5 linked regions of the Kluyveromyces lactis genome follow. Each later gene encodes a partner of the first gene's protein in a complex. Links are inferred from orthologs where the notes say so. Each region holds a gene or a part of one and is shown in the gene's direction. Other genes may lie near its edges. The genes, in order: DAD1, DAD2, DAD4, DAM1 and ASK1.

Region 1 (2,841 bases):
AAGAAGCATAATTATTACATTACAAGGGATAAGTATTACGGTAGAAAGGTAAGAGTCGGTTGGCAATTTTCTAGAGTGTTAGCAAGATTCTTATACGATGGCGAGTCGAAAAGAAGTATCGTTAAGCAAATTCCTATCTTGATTCAACAATTAGATACTTTATACAGTGAAATCGCGAAGCTGAAATCATACAGATTGTACGGATCATCTTTGCTCTTATTTTACGATGGCGACAACCCTCAGAACAAACGATCTCGGGTGAAGGTAAACATTATAGATTTCGCTAGGTGTGTCACTGATCGTGATATAGAAAAGTCACTAGATCGTTTTAAGATTGCACCTCATTTCCCAAACAGAGAGGATCAGGGATTCCTTCGAGGTATAAAATCCTTGAAGTTCTATCTAGTTCATATTTGGAATTTTTTAACTAACGACGCCGCTATGGTCCAACATGGAGAGCAGCTAACGCAGTTTTTGGAAGATAATATAGACAAATTCAATTCCAACTGGGACTGGCTAGATGAATACGATAAAGAAGATGACGCCGAGGCCTGCAATGCGGAAAGTCCTTTGCGCGTAAAATGGCGGAAATATGAATTGATCTTTGACATTGAGCCCAGATACGCTGATGACGAAGTCAGCGACTAAGGCCAATCATTTGAATAAGAACCAAATTTTTTTACTCTCAATTACAACTACATCCAAACGACATATTCTTGTTAGTGCAATACAGCTTCAGCATAATTTATATATAAGCTTGTACGTAACTACCGTGTAAGTATAATTCGGTTTTTGCTTTGCAGCTAAGGCTAAAAGTCATAGGTTTTAGCATTGTTACCTGGTGGAAAGTTGCGGGCTACACGAGTCGATTGTTGTGGTTTGTATTTGTTTGAACAACGATAGGGTTATATCGATATAATTTTTGAAGATCGGATAACAGAACTTAAATTGTTCAAGACTGATAAGATTTATTCTCCCAGCTTAGAGAGACTAGCCAAGAGTTGAAGATGCCTTGGCCAGCCAAATATACTGGTTGATTTTTACTTGCCCTTTTACGCTAAAGAAACTTTCAAGAACTATGTAATATGGTGAAAGAGTAAGCATTCAATAACTTTTTCCATTTTATATCCGAGAGAACATCGGTAGGGTAAGCTGAATATGATGTGAAAGGGCAGTCAGTCGTATTATATAGCTTGGCGTGAGATGAAGATCGTTTGCTAATCCAGGTTACCAGTATTTCGCTTAAAATTAGTGGTTTCTTACATTTGCTATGTCTTTCAAACGTCTGTATATGTGCCAATGATAATCCTTGCCGGTAACATCTTGATTTCATATTTGAAGGTAAATTGGCAGTGAAGATTCAAATACCGCAGATCGCGATATTCGCCTATTTTAATGTCTAATTGAGCTGCTAAATGTTCCAATTACCTAAGCTTTGGAGCCAGTTGGTTCTCAGCGATACACCAGGTTTCTGTCATCAACGACTTAGTATCTTTATGAGAAGCGGACAGTTTTATTAAAACATTTAGATCATGGAAATACACGAAAAAGGTAAACTGATATGCATTGTATATCGAGGGTCATCGGAAAATAACAGGAGTCCCGATTTGCATACACTGAGGGCCCAACATATAGCAAGCAGCAATGACAGAAGAGGTTCAACAGCTATCGACAGGCGACAAATATTTCATCGAGCAAAGAAGTCTGATATTACAAGAGATCAACGAAAGCATGGATGCCATTTTGAATCAATTAAATGGGTTAAACATTACCCTTGAAAATAGTATAGCAGTCGGGAAGGAATTTGAAAACGTATCACAGATATGGAAACTGTTCTATAATGGGCTTGAGTCTGAAGAACAGAATATGGAGACGGTAGGAGTAGCAGATTCTGAACATATTACGGAGGATGTCAATCCTGAAGGGAAATAGAGAATTGGTTTTATATCAAGAAAGGCACAAATTGAGGAACTTGATAAGCTTTGCAGATAAAACTTACCAGCCAATGAACTACAGCAACGTGTCGCATCATAAGTATTTTTCATCAGTTGTTTGTTCTAGAAGTGTGCTTCTATAGACGGTATATATATGTAGACCGTTTGGTACAGGATAAAAAGAAAGTTAAGAACACGCCACATATTTTTCATCAGTTTCTGCTTAAATTTCGTGCGTCTTCTACTAATCTCTTGATTTGCATCCGAAGCTATACTTGTATTGAAGGGAAATGGGGCAATATGTTTAACACCCTCGAGGAAAACAAGTGCATACTGACAGAAGGGATTGTGGCATTTAGCGTTACTTTTTGCTGGGCAACAACAAGAAGTTGGTTCCTTGGCCCAGTTGGTTAAGGCACCGTGCTAATAACGCGGGGATCAGCGGTTCGATCCCGCTAGGAACCATTCTTTTTTTCAAAAATTCCTCTCTTTCTTAAGTATACAATGTAACGCTGAACCTCTTAATAATACGGAATATCTTCCATCAGTCAGTCGAAGTGAGCAAATGGAATATTATCACCCACAATGGTAATGCTGGTCCCCCTGCCTACGTTATTATCCTATATTCTCTATCTTTAAGTCCAATGCAGCTTGACGCGACTTTTCTCTTTTGAGCAAAAAACAACTTTCTTCAATAGAAAGAGAATCTGCAATTTGATGTTTAAACAGATCAAGTTCTGGAGGAGTAAAACAGATGTTTGGTCTTTAAATAGGCCTTTGGTTCTATTATAGAATATATGATGGGTGCGGAATCACGATCGGTATTTGTGTGATGCAATTTCTGGGGTGGTAAGGACCAGTGCCACACTTGGGTTTGATTTTCCTCTCATCGAGTTTCGTGTGCGCA
Region 2 (2,639 bases), on another chromosome or scaffold:
AATGCTCGTGAGTTGAAGTTTCCTCTGGAATGGAATATTCAATGACTGATGTAGTGAAATTGTAAGAATCATCTTCGGCAAGTGCAGTTTCCATTTCTGTAGTATTATTTTTATTGGTATTGCTACATTCAGTGCCTGTGTTAGTAACAGATGGAAGGACCGGTACCAAAGGTATCGTAGAGACATTCTCTTTTCCCTCGTCTTCACGCTCTTCTTTTGTATGCTTGTTCTCCTGAGACTCTTCCTCAGGTACTGAGGTGGCTGCAGTACTAGGCGGCGGTTCATCCTCAGTTATCGGCAGTTGATTCAGTTCTAGTTCCGGGTCCTCATCGTTAAACTCGAAATCTGCAGGAATGAACAACGACTCTCTCCGTGAACTCTTACGCCTCCTCTTTCTCAGAGGTCGTACCTCATCATCATTCAGCTCGAGACTATTCCCGCTATTTTCATGGTTATCTTCCGCAATTGGATCCTCAAACCCAACTGGTTTCGTTGTGGTATTTGCACCAGTAAACTCCACTTTCTTCGCAGATCTCGGGCTTATACCATTCGAGCCTCTCAAAATCGGTTTAAGAGGGTTATCATGAATACCTGATTCTAAACCCTGGCTCTCCCGTACTGTGGTCAACAATTGGTTCATTTGCAAGAATTTTTCTACAATTCCGTCCTCTAACGTCTGGAAAACAGTATTGAGCTTCTCACGATAGCGCAATTCACCCATAGAAAGCCGCGACCGTAAGGAAACATTCTCTTGCACCAATTCACTCACTTTAGTCTCCATATCAGTGATTTTCATCATAAGACTGGAATTATATTTCGCAAGCTGACTGTTCTGCTGTAAATAAATTCCCTTTTGTTGCTCAAGCATAGCTTGAAATTCATCGTACTGCGAAGAAGCGCTCATGTTGCACTCTCACAAAACTTAGTAACACTATCCGCCGTCAATTCGGGTCCCTATAGACTTAGGAATCGCTCTTCTTTCAGTCAATGAACAGGTTATTTAAACGCTGAATGAGATCTAAAGCTTTGAATGTTTTCATTGTTTACGTTTTGTTCTACGATGTAAACACAAAAAAACAAGATTACCCGGATCATATTTAGTACTACATTTAATTCAAATGAGGTAAGTTGGACATGTAATGGGCAATTTGATGTTATCCAACCCTTCGTTCATTCTAAATAGCGGTGTTAATGCTTAGCGTAGCTTGTATAGATCAATCTCCCCTGATACAAGTCGGTTTTCTCGAGTTTTCTTCCTTTATTTCAATATCGGAATAATATGAAATCACGACTTTGAACTAATCTCTACAATGTGAATTCTTTCAAAGACTAGAAGAACCAAGAATTATCAGCTAAGATAGACACTTCTCGGAGCGAGTTGGATGATATATTCTAGCTGAAGAGTAAGAGGTTTGGGTCACCTGAAAAAAAGTTGTCAGTATGGCATTTGAAACCGAGATCGAGACTAAGAGAAGAGAATTGAATTATTTGAAGCATGTTTCTGCATTGACACAGAAATTAAAGGCTCAATTGGACGAGCTGAGCGTTCAGGTAGCGCAGATGAATAGCAATGCTGTGACTGTTAAAGACGTAATGGCTAATTGGGACTCGGTTCTTCGGTCTATCTCTCAGGCTTCGATATCTTTACTTCAGTATACAGAAAACGACTATGAGACTGGGAAATGGGCCAGTAAAGAGGAACATAGAAACCAACAGGGCGCTGAAGATGAAAGTGCTGCGTCAGAAAGTTCAGAAGATAACCAGCAGCGGCAACAGGATCAATTACCTCCGCTTCCGGAAACTTTGGTACGGGTGAAAGTTGCAGATGACGTTGAATAACGTTTTTATTGAATATATACATATGGTGTATAAACAGGTTTTATACTATGTACAATTAATTGGTGTGGCACCTTCTTCTATTATTGAATTAGAAAGATGTGGGACTTGTCTCGATTGTGTTAGTTGCGTAATTGATGACACATTGGTTACCGGTTTCCTCGTTGATTTCTCCAATGATGGATTGTAACATCGTAACGTCCAAATTCGAATTAGCGAAAAGAGCAACCTCTCGTTTGACGTCGCTAGCTAATTTATTAAGATCGGTTAGTCCATGGTACATGCCATCCAGGTATGAGTCAGTGATCAATTTCTCATTGGCCAAGTTGTCGATGATTGGAAGTTCGATACTTTGATGGTAGAACTGCTGCTTGAAAAAGACCCTTAAAGTTTGTCTAACCGCATTTTCATCGGATAAGAGACACCTTCTCCAGATCTGGTACTCGCAGTACTTTTTTACTTCAGTGGGTAACGTGTGATCAATGGCAAGGATACTCAATGCAAATCCATAAGAAGTATCTTGATTTAATAGTGTGAATAATTCTATCATATGCGGCACTGAGAGAGATTCTCTCCTCTTCACAGCATCGCTCAAATATTTGAACAAAGTTCGATAGGTGGTAAAGTCTTTGAATAGTGGGTTGAGAGTTGATTCTTGTAGTTCTTGGGATAGAAGAATTTGCCCATCGATGAGATCTAATTCGGTTTGAATTTCGTTTAGCTTTTCAAGATCTTGAACTTCCGCGGCAAGAGCTGTTAATTTGGCAATACTCAATTGTGCCTGTCTTTGTTTCAAATCTTGA
Region 3 (2,479 bases), on another chromosome or scaffold:
CGGATGTAGAACTTGGACTCAGTGGTTTTATTGGCACTGGAGAATTAGTGTTTGGTCCGTTAGATGTACCCACGTTGGAAATTGTGCTTGGAGTAGTCTGGCCTGGAGATGGCGCAAATGGATTGGAATTCGATTTTGCTAATGAGGACAAAGATGGATCCTTGAATGACGTTTGGCTATAATTCAAAGGTCGCTTGCCATTCGTCCCATTGGCACCAAAGCTTTCCTCTTGGTTTGAAATGACGGATTCCTGATCGTCATCCAAACCTTCCATTGCCGATGCACTAGGGTTGATACTCACCGAAAATAAACATTTTTTCTTAGTCTGCTTCGAAGTAGTATTGTCTAAAATGAACGCGTAATAACAACTCTCACAAGTTGATTCGAACGATTCGGCAACGGTATCGTTGTTAGAAATGGTCCCATACCAGGTCACCTTTTCCAGACCGCTTTGTGCTAACCTTGTTTGCAACGGCACGTTTTTGTCCTTTTCGTGATCTGCCAAGGCAACGTTAGGCTTGGCATCGGTTGAAATTCGAATTAACGGATTAGTATTACTATTCGAAGAAGCTTTTACACTCCCATGGTTTGTTTCACTCAAATCAGTCGTGGATGATCCACCAAACCGTCTGTATATACCAAACCCTATCGATTTTTTCAAAGGTTTCAACCGAAACGAAACTATATCACCTTGAGAAACTTTCTGCCAACGCACAACAAATGATTTATTTTGAACGTCAATAGTATCCATGTTTGATGCCGAAAAAAATTTAATAGTTACAATTGAATCACTCTCGAAACTAAGTAGACGTTCCAATCTACCTTTATCGGTCGGTTATTCGCTGAAAAATCAATTCTGAATAAGAGAGATTAACCAGGGGAAAAGATCAACAAACACCTGATAGGCACGCAGTAAGAATGGTAATTATTCACAGGTGAAATTTAACTGACAATATCCGTTACCAGCAATTATCACCAAATTGATATATGATGCCCGCCAAAAGCTCGAAACGCACACTAGAAGTCTGTTATAGATGAAATTTGGATCCTTGTTTACTTCAAATTAAAGGTTTAGTTTATTATACTCAAGCTTTTTTTTAATTCATTTTCACTGAGAAGCTGCTTTGGGGCAGGTACTAATTTTCATCATTTAAAAAAAAAAAAAAAAAGGTTTATAATAGCATCCAACATGTATTCAAATGCAAAACATCGGTCAAAAATGTAAACCACAAGGAAAACACAGGCACTAGAGGCTACAAAACTGGTGTATAACTATCCGTCATCAGTTATATTTGTGATACATACCATGGAAAACCCGTATGAGAAAGTTCAAAGCAATATTCTGGCTAGAATCATTGGCAATGTCGAAAGGTTGAACCAGAGTGTAGTGATACTAAACCAAGAGCTTCGAAGGGTAAACACCAAGAATAAGAATTTGGAACTGATGTCACAAATGTGTGAGAACTATAGAGAATCTGTTGATTTCCAGTTGCAGGCAACTTCCAAGAAACAGGACCCATTGTAAGGTCTCACATATATTCTAACGAGAAGAATTTATTAAAAAAAAAAAGCAGTTACTTAAGTGATGTAGTATGTACGTATATACATACGCCTTTTTATAGTCGGTTTCAGGACCGTACTGATTCTAATTTACAGATAATAATGGATTAATTTTTTTTGTTCATGTTCAGTGAGTTTTAACCGGTGCAATTTTGTCTGCGGATTGTGTTCCAACTTGTAGGGACCTTAGTTTGGCAAAAGGTTGTATCTCTTCTTCAAAGTAACTCTTTGTCTGGAGTATTTGTCATCTGGAGAGAATCTAGCAGGGTGAGCAGACTTTGTAATTTCATTATCCTCAGTCATCTTCTTCAAAGTATAGATTCTCTTGCCTTGGGCATCCAAAGTGTACATCAAATGCATAGTGGGTAGTGGGTAGAGTGTGATAGATGCTTTTGGTTGGAAGTGAAAAGGAACTAGATATATGGATAACAAGACACTTTCTTTCAAGCGATGAGCTATACCGATCAGTTAGTTAATGCTATGTTGAAAAACTGATTATATCTCTTTGAAAATTTAGCAGATGCACTTGATGGAAAAGAAATATTCCAGTTCGTATCATGTGATCTGATGATATATTCTCTAACGTAAGTAGCGATATGTGTTTTGATTATCTTTTTCTAGTCACGTGTAAAACGAAGGAGGCTGGATCGGTTCCAATGATCGATTGATTGATAAACTTTTGTAATCGGGTGTTCACGTGACCTGTGTGTATTTTATTTGTATTTTATTTGTATTACCCGGCCACTCTCCTATAAAAAAGGGGTCTCATTTCCACACATAGTTAAGGACCCTGCTTACTATGAGTGTTTTTATGACAGGAACTGAAGCTGGAACTGGAACTGGAACTTTCAAAGGAAAAATGAAAAAAGACGAAAACGAAATTTGAAATTGAAATAGAAATAGGAATAGGAATAGGAAT
Region 4 (3,275 bases), about 390 kb from region 1:
AGACAAATTAACCTACGATCCTATTCCGTTACCTAAAACGTTTACACCGGATATGTGCGAAGACTGGGAATACCGCAAGTGTACTATGACCGGTAGATTCTTGCATGATGAAGAGATTTTTGTCGGCCCCCGTGTTAGAGGAGGGATCAAGGGGTACGTTTTATATACGCCTTTCATCAGAAAGGATACGGGAGAAAGAATTTTGATTGAACGTGGTTGGATCTCGGAGGAGAAAATCGTTCCATCATCTCGTAACTTGCAACATTTGTCTTTACCTCAAGGCGATAACGTGACAATTACAGTGTTAGTGCGTGCAGCTAAAGATTTGACATCAATGCAATGGAAGAAGGAAGACAGGGAGAGTAGATTGTGGCAAGTCTTGGATATTAAGGATATGACAGAGATGACACATACTTCTCCTATTCATTACCAAGCTCTTTACGATCTGAAAGATCACCATTGGGATGAAGAATCAAAATCTGAGGGTATCGATAACAAAAACCAATCATCTTGGAAATTCTGGTCTAAAAAGAAAACCGAAACAGAACCACAACAAGAAGAATCCGAGAAACCACACGTCAACACGAAGAAAGTAAATACAGCAGATTCGGAGACAGGATTGGAATTTAACGAGTTCCAATTCGTTAAAGCGGGAGTGCCTATTGGTAAAGCACCAAAGATTGATTTGAAGAATAATCATTTACAATATTTAATTACTTGGTATGGGTTATCTCTGCTTTCATCTATCTTCCTTATCATTGCACTAAGACGTGGTCGTGGTTCCGCTATGTCACAGGATGAAATAAAGAGGCAAAAGCTAAAACATGCCAAGAAGTTCATGTGATAAAGAAACACATATTGATATTCTCAGGAATTTCTATCTCGATCCCATCATTTCCTTCAATTTTCTAGTATTCGAGATACTCAAATTCCAATAAATTATATTCAAGCAGTTAATTACTAAACACATAGTAGTATCAACCTTGTTTGTACCTGTAAATACTATTATAGCTATTTTGAATGATTTTCATTCCTGTTGATGAATACTAACTAACTATCGTTGAAATACTTGTACATCGAAAATCGAAAACGTAAATAAAGTAAAGCAAAACAAAAACACGAACAGTAAGGTGTCTCCAAGCAGACAGACGGAATGCGATAGTGTCTCTTTGGGCAACCTGGTATCTAATTTGACATCTCATAGACAGTCTGAGGTAAATTCATTACTTGTTTTTTTTTTTTTTGACCTTTCATCTTAAATTCTCAGGGCTACTTGGCACTATTCCAAACTCAACATAAAACTGCTGGATTCATCTGCTCATAAGATATGTCTCAAAGGCCAAATACTCCACAGCGGGACAGGCCAACTGAATATAGACTATCTTTGTCATCTAATGCAAGCTCAAGAAGATCTAGTTTAGGCAACAACGGTCGAGATCAGCATGCGTCAAATCAAACAATGATTGAAAAATACGTGCTCCCACAATTACAGGAACTTTCGGACTCGATGGTAACACTCGATGGTAACATGACGCACATGAATTTCATTCATGAATCGATAGCGGATTTAAATGAGGCTCTAAGCGCTTTATTATACGGATTGATGTGTAACTCTTGGTGTGTTGATTTCCCGAACATATCTCATGATACTCCGCATGAATTGAAATTAATCCAAAGACTAGAAGAGTTGAAACAAGAAAGACAAGCACTACAGGCGAAACTCAAGCCAAAGGAACTTACCAAAGGAAGCATATTACCTCTTTCAAGACAACCTTTATCACGAGGTTCTCAGATGTTGTATCGTGATGAAAATGTGCCAGGTTCTACTGCAAGCTCGAATGTTAACATTGACATTAACGATGACGAAGATAACACAGCCGCTTCGTTTGTATCCAACCCAACTACTTTCAAACCTCAAATGATATCTTCAGTAGGAGCTTCAACTGACTTTATGGGAAAACAAACGGTAGGCTCCGCGTCATCGAAACTCAGAAGAAGATCCATTCTACATCAAATACGAAACAACGCTGCAATAGGCACTATACCTAATACACTAACAGGTATTACTCCTGGAGAAAGAAAAAGATCACTAGCAGTCAGTGCAAAAAGAATTCCTATCTTGGCAGGATCATCGACTACCGCTGGCTCTGCCTCTTCTGCTAATCGTGAATCTACAAATACAGAGCCCGCTCTACCGAATAGAGTTGTAAGAACAAGACAGAGAACCTATAATCCAAAAAACCTTGCAAGCAGGCCTCCTTTCAGGTAACGAGTTATTTGATACTTCTTACCAGAGCTTTTTTCTAGATACATATTCATACCGTGTGTATATCTACCAAACAATGTAATATTACAACGTCAGTTAACAAAATGAAGAAAAAAAAATTACTGAAGGTACTCAGTAAAGATTGAAGTGCTCTATGAGGCTGCTCTTACCGCTTATCAGTGATACATGAACGTTCTCGTTTCAAGTGAAGTCTCGTTCGATTTACTTTTATTCGAGTTGAGCTTATTGAGCAAATAAAGGCCGCCCTCTTCATTTCATTCTGCAAGGAATTCTGTGAAGAAAAATGACCGAAGTTACAGAGAACATAAATCAATGAAAGAGCTAACATAAAGAATGAGATGAGAAGATTTTGAGAAGGTATTGGTTGTACATTTTAAATATAAGAAAGTGGCATATAAGTGTTTAGCCATACATCTTGATCAGTTCCATTCTAGCTGCTGACGGTTACACACCAGAAACATTGATGTTTTTTTGTTGATTTTAACTCTTTGTTCATTCACGTATTGGGAAGCGATTGACGAAGAAAAGAATAACTGCACAGTTGGCTTGGGTTAATCAAAAGAGCCACAACCGACACTATCCAAAAACCCCATCGACAGATATCAATAAAGCCTTTCAACATGAATATGCACGCAGGTGATACTACCACCTCAGCCAGTGCCATGGCCATGAGTACTAGTACTTCCAGTTCTATGTCTGGAATGGACATGGATGGTGGTTCCGAAATGACTGGAATGAACTCTTATCTCACAAGAAAATATATGAACTATCCCGTTGTCTTTGAGAAACTCTATGCTTCTGATCGCGGTGAAGCATTTGGTATCTTCTTGCTTATCGTTGTTGCTGCCTTTGTATACAAATTCTTGTTATTTGTGAGCTGGTACCTAGAATTGAAATGGTTCAAGAAGGCAGGAGTCAATGAGGAAGCTGAGAACGATGAGGCTACAGGTAAGAACGTGTTATATACTATCGAAGATCTGGAATTACA
Region 5 (3,213 bases), on another chromosome or scaffold:
TCAACTGATTGTACTTGTAATAGTTCAAATTCTCCGTAATTGTGATTTGATGGAAATACTTGGACTGGGTATATCTTCCGCCAATATACCAGTCAACAGAGACAATAATGAAATATAATCCGAACCAAAATGCCAATAGCCATTCAAAACAGGCAGTCGTTGATCTATCTTCTAAGCATGCAAAACAAATAGCCCAAACGAAAGCAGCTATTACCCAAAATGCCTTTAGTAAGCCACTGATAGTATACTTGTTCCAAACATGGCCGTGCCATTCATTCCACCTTGTGTCTTTGCCGATATCTTCACTACTTGTAAGAGGATGGACGACAGCGTAGTGTCTGCCCATTGTCATATATTGTGCGACATGACAAATTACACTCAATCCGACAAATGCACAGAATATACCCACCATGGAACTGTGCACCCTAGGATACGTGTTTGTTGAGAAGATAGTGCACATAAGCAAAGCCAATTCACCTATACTTCCTAGTACGAATGAGGCCCATACTAGATTCCGTTCATGTTTGGTAAAAAATGGAGGCATGACATATTTCTTCTGAATTAAAGCTTCGATGTAGTTCGATTCCATTATAGAGCTATCGTTAGATTTTTCTAAGTCATCATGATAAGTATACGGTAACTTGAAAGGCCAATGACCAGATCTTTGAAAATACTCTAGAGCAACCATGATTACGTATCCTAGACCTTGCCATGCCGCACAAGAAATAAACAACGGTTTTAAATTGGTCGCACCAATATGGGATATATAAACCGGGAACTGGTCTGTATGCATGAACCAATAAATGGGATGACCTTGTCCTGCCCAACATGCCAACATCGCAATTAGCATCCCATACCATGGAATGAAAGCTATCCAGGGAAAGATAAACCAGTAGTTACCTGGACGTGGAAACATATTAGTATAGTCTTGCGGTTTACGTTTATACCTGTATCAAATCCAATCCTTATGAGAATGTCTACCAGTGATATTCTTTAAAGGAATGAGCTATGTTGACCTTGTCCCGTCAAATTCGGCTGGTATAATATACTCATTCTTTTCCTTATATATCTAAAACCCGACTTCCACGAATAAAAAACAATATAAACTATATTTGACATATTTATATATATATGCTTTTATATGGCATGGCTTGTGTATGGCACTGCAGTGATGCTGTCACTGATGCCTTAAATTACAACTTGCTATTCACTGAATGTAACTGTCAATCGGCTCGATGATACACTAGCTTGAGACACCCTGCGCGATTTCTGGGCGCTTTGTTGCGATATTTGCTCCAGTAAAAAAAAAAGGTTTTCTTTCGATGCTTTACTAATAGGTTTCGAGGCTTAAGAGCAAGGATGGATAACGTAATGGATGATATCTAATTTTCCACTCCGAGTAGGCAGAGCCTTCTAAGCCATTGATACCCTTGAATAGCAGACGTGACCGGTGTCCTTGAATCAGTACGTATTATGTAGTTTAGTTTATACTTTCAGCTTGGAAATATCGTAAGCCTCATCCGAATCAGCCTAGCGCTTCTTCGTTGATCTGCAGAAAGTTACCTTGGCATTGCAGAGACTTTCTTTATGTCATTTCAAATTTCTTCTTAGAGTTACAAGAGGAAATATGAATTTGACCAAAAAGTCAACAAACCGGTTTGACAGAAAGGATTTGGATTTGGAAGTGTAAATAGTGACGGTTACAGGTAACAGGACGCGGTGTCCGTTGTTATAAATATTACAGTAAACAAGGAAAAGGACGCAATTAGTCTGTGCCAATTAGCTAACACTAGGTTTCCTGTTTTACATCATGGATGCAGTGAATATTGAACAAATAGATCAAGAGATCACGTTAAATTTACAATCAATCGATTCAGACCTCTCGTACTGTTTCAACAAGATAACAAAGGATATAATACCGTACGTGACGCGATATGGACAGACTTGTGAAGATATCACGAATTCTAGTTCGTGGCTGAAAGAAATGTTTCAGCAGAGTGCTAATGTTCAGTTGGTGACGGATCAGGCTGTGGAATCTGCGGGTCAGGTTTTGGAGCCCCGGACTTCCTTATTTCCAGAGGTAGAAAACGAAACTGATGAGTTCCATACAGTCGATCAATACCCTGCTTTATCTCAAACCGGAGTAAGTTCCGCTGGTGCCCCCACCACGAAAACAGGAGGATCGGTAAAACAGGATCAATTTCAAGATCAGGATACCGATGAGTTGACTCAGGATAGTGCAATGGAAAAACAGAGGAAGAAGAGAAAAGTTTCGTTACAAATTCACCAACATTTCAATTCGTCGTCATCTTCTAATTCTTCAATGGAGAATGATATCTCTGCAAACAGTTCCCCAATAAAGACGATCCCCCCGGAAACAGAAACTGGGACAGAAACACATAACAAAATCCAGGGCGAATTGGCCAAGCCGGGAACCGTTATTCATTTTAACAGCAAACGCGATTGAAGCTCTGTCTTAGCCTTCCCCCACTCACTTCTATATCATAGTGTGTGAGGTATACATTGTTACTCAGGGTTCCAGATCCTATGACCTGAACGAACAATCACGTGATATAATACTTTCCTTTTTAGTTTCATGCTTCTATAGCTTCGTTTTCAATCGGATTTCTACATGGTGAATTTGACATTCTGATTATGTGCGATGCAGAGACTAAGTGAGTATTCATATACGATACAAGATACGCCACAAAACTACCATGGGTAACGTGATGAGTGCAAGTTTCGCTACAGAGTGTACACCTTTGAAGGGTAAGTACGATAAATGTTTTAACGACTGGTACAGCGAGAAATTTTTGAAAGGTGAGTCAATTGAAAACGAATGCCAAACCGAATGGTACGAATATATGGAATGTGTCCAAGCTAGCTTGGTGAAACAAGGCATAAAACCAGCTCTAGATGAAGCACGTAAGGAAGCACCATTCGAGAATGACGGAAAACCTGTAGAGCCTTGAATTGCGGACCAAAGAAACGCATACATACCTGCGCCATTCGCTATGATGAATCTAAGTATAAAATAAATTAAAATGGGTTTCATTTGAAACCTCTGTAAATAGAGAATACAATACAATACCTAGCGCGTATTTTTGACCACAGTAGGGTTAACATTACCAGGAGTTTCGACTGAAGTTGTACCACCGCTACGTGATTATACCTTAATCCTTTCTCCACCGTAAGTCAGGGCAACGTTCGTCC

The links.
Region 2: DAD1 (region 1) and DAD2 share a complex: the UniProt entries of both Saccharomyces cerevisiae proteins name them as parts of the DASH complex. The link is inferred for Kluyveromyces lactis from reciprocal best matches to the Saccharomyces cerevisiae genes DAD1 and DAD2.
Region 3: DAD1 (region 1) and DAD4 share a complex: the UniProt entries of both Saccharomyces cerevisiae proteins name them as parts of the DASH complex. The link is inferred for Kluyveromyces lactis from reciprocal best matches to the Saccharomyces cerevisiae genes DAD1 and DAD4.
Region 4: the proteins of DAD1 (region 1) and DAM1 are in contact, whole or in part, in a cryo-EM structure (PDB 8Q84), measured with the Saccharomyces cerevisiae proteins. The link is inferred for Kluyveromyces lactis from reciprocal best matches to the Saccharomyces cerevisiae genes DAD1 and DAM1. Residues at the interface, in NP_010299.3 of Saccharomyces cerevisiae: Arg24, Leu28, Ile31, Asn32, Met35, Ile38, Leu39, Leu42, Leu45, Asn46, Leu49, Glu50, Ser52, Ile53, Gly56, Arg57, Phe59, Gln60, Ser63, Trp66, Lys67, Leu69, Tyr70; in NP_011628.4 of Saccharomyces cerevisiae: Ile59, Leu62, Leu63, Lys66, Ile67, Glu69, Leu70, Ser73, Thr76, Leu77, Asn80, Phe81, Arg83, Leu84, Ile87, Ser90, Leu91, Asp93, Leu94, Glu96, Ser97, Leu98, Ser100, Leu101.
Region 5: DAD1 (region 1) and ASK1 share a complex: the UniProt entries of both Saccharomyces cerevisiae proteins name them as parts of the DASH complex. The link is inferred for Kluyveromyces lactis from reciprocal best matches to the Saccharomyces cerevisiae genes DAD1 and ASK1.

What each region holds. Positions count from the first base shown.
Region 1 is NC_006038.1:608,731-611,571, forward strand, and holds DAD1 (Dad1p), read left to right. Parts: upstream 1-1,644; coding exon 1,645-1,932; downstream 1,933-2,841. Other genes in the region: inositol polyphosphate kinase KCS1, read left to right, coding at 1-648. UniProt on the Saccharomyces cerevisiae protein: Component of the DASH complex that connects microtubules with kinetochores and couples microtubule depolymerisation to chromosome movement; it is involved in retrieving kinetochores to the spindle poles before their re-orientation on the spindle in early mitosis and allows microtubule depolymerization to pull chromosomes apart and resist detachment during anaphase.
Region 2 is NC_006037.1:700,606-703,244, forward strand, and holds DAD2 (Dad2p), read left to right. Parts: upstream 1-1,440; coding exon 1,441-1,839; downstream 1,840-2,639. Other genes in the region: SGO1 (Sgo1p), read right to left, coding at 1-904; NUP133 (Nup133p), read right to left, coding at 1,928-2,639. UniProt on the Saccharomyces cerevisiae protein: Component of the DASH complex that connects microtubules with kinetochores and couples microtubule depolymerisation to chromosome movement; it is involved in retrieving kinetochores to the spindle poles before their re-orientation on the spindle in early mitosis and allows microtubule depolymerization to pull chromosomes apart and resist detachment during anaphase.
Region 3 is NC_006039.1:1,465,255-1,467,733, reverse strand, and holds DAD4 (Dad4p), read left to right. Parts: upstream 1-1,306; coding exon 1,307-1,525; downstream 1,526-2,479. Other genes in the region: oxysterol-binding protein related protein OSH3, read right to left, coding at 1-751; snoRNP complex protein NOP10, read right to left, coding at 1,747-1,920. UniProt on the Saccharomyces cerevisiae protein: Component of the DASH complex that connects microtubules with kinetochores and couples microtubule depolymerisation to chromosome movement; it is involved in retrieving kinetochores to the spindle poles before their re-orientation on the spindle in early mitosis and allows microtubule depolymerization to pull chromosomes apart and resist detachment during anaphase.
Region 4 is NC_006038.1:998,884-1,002,158, reverse strand, and holds DAM1 (Dam1p), read left to right. Parts: upstream 1-1,327; coding exon 1,328-2,269; downstream 2,270-3,275. Other genes in the region: cytochrome oxidase assembly protein SHY1, read left to right, coding at 1-844; high-affinity Cu transporter CTR1, read left to right, coding at 2,908-3,275. UniProt on the Saccharomyces cerevisiae protein: Component of the DASH complex that connects microtubules with kinetochores and couples microtubule depolymerisation to chromosome movement; it is involved in retrieving kinetochores to the spindle poles before their re-orientation on the spindle in early mitosis and allows microtubule depolymerization to pull chromosomes apart and resist detachment during anaphase.
Region 5 is NC_006039.1:1,071,653-1,074,865, forward strand, and holds ASK1 (Ask1p), read left to right. Parts: upstream 1-1,810; coding exon 1,811-2,467; downstream 2,468-3,213. Other genes in the region: SFK1 (Sfk1p), read right to left, coding at 1-916; MDM35 (Mdm35p), read left to right, coding at 2,718-2,972. UniProt on the Saccharomyces cerevisiae protein: Component of the DASH complex that connects microtubules with kinetochores and couples microtubule depolymerisation to chromosome movement; it is involved in retrieving kinetochores to the spindle poles before their re-orientation on the spindle in early mitosis and allows microtubule depolymerization to pull chromosomes apart and resist detachment during anaphase.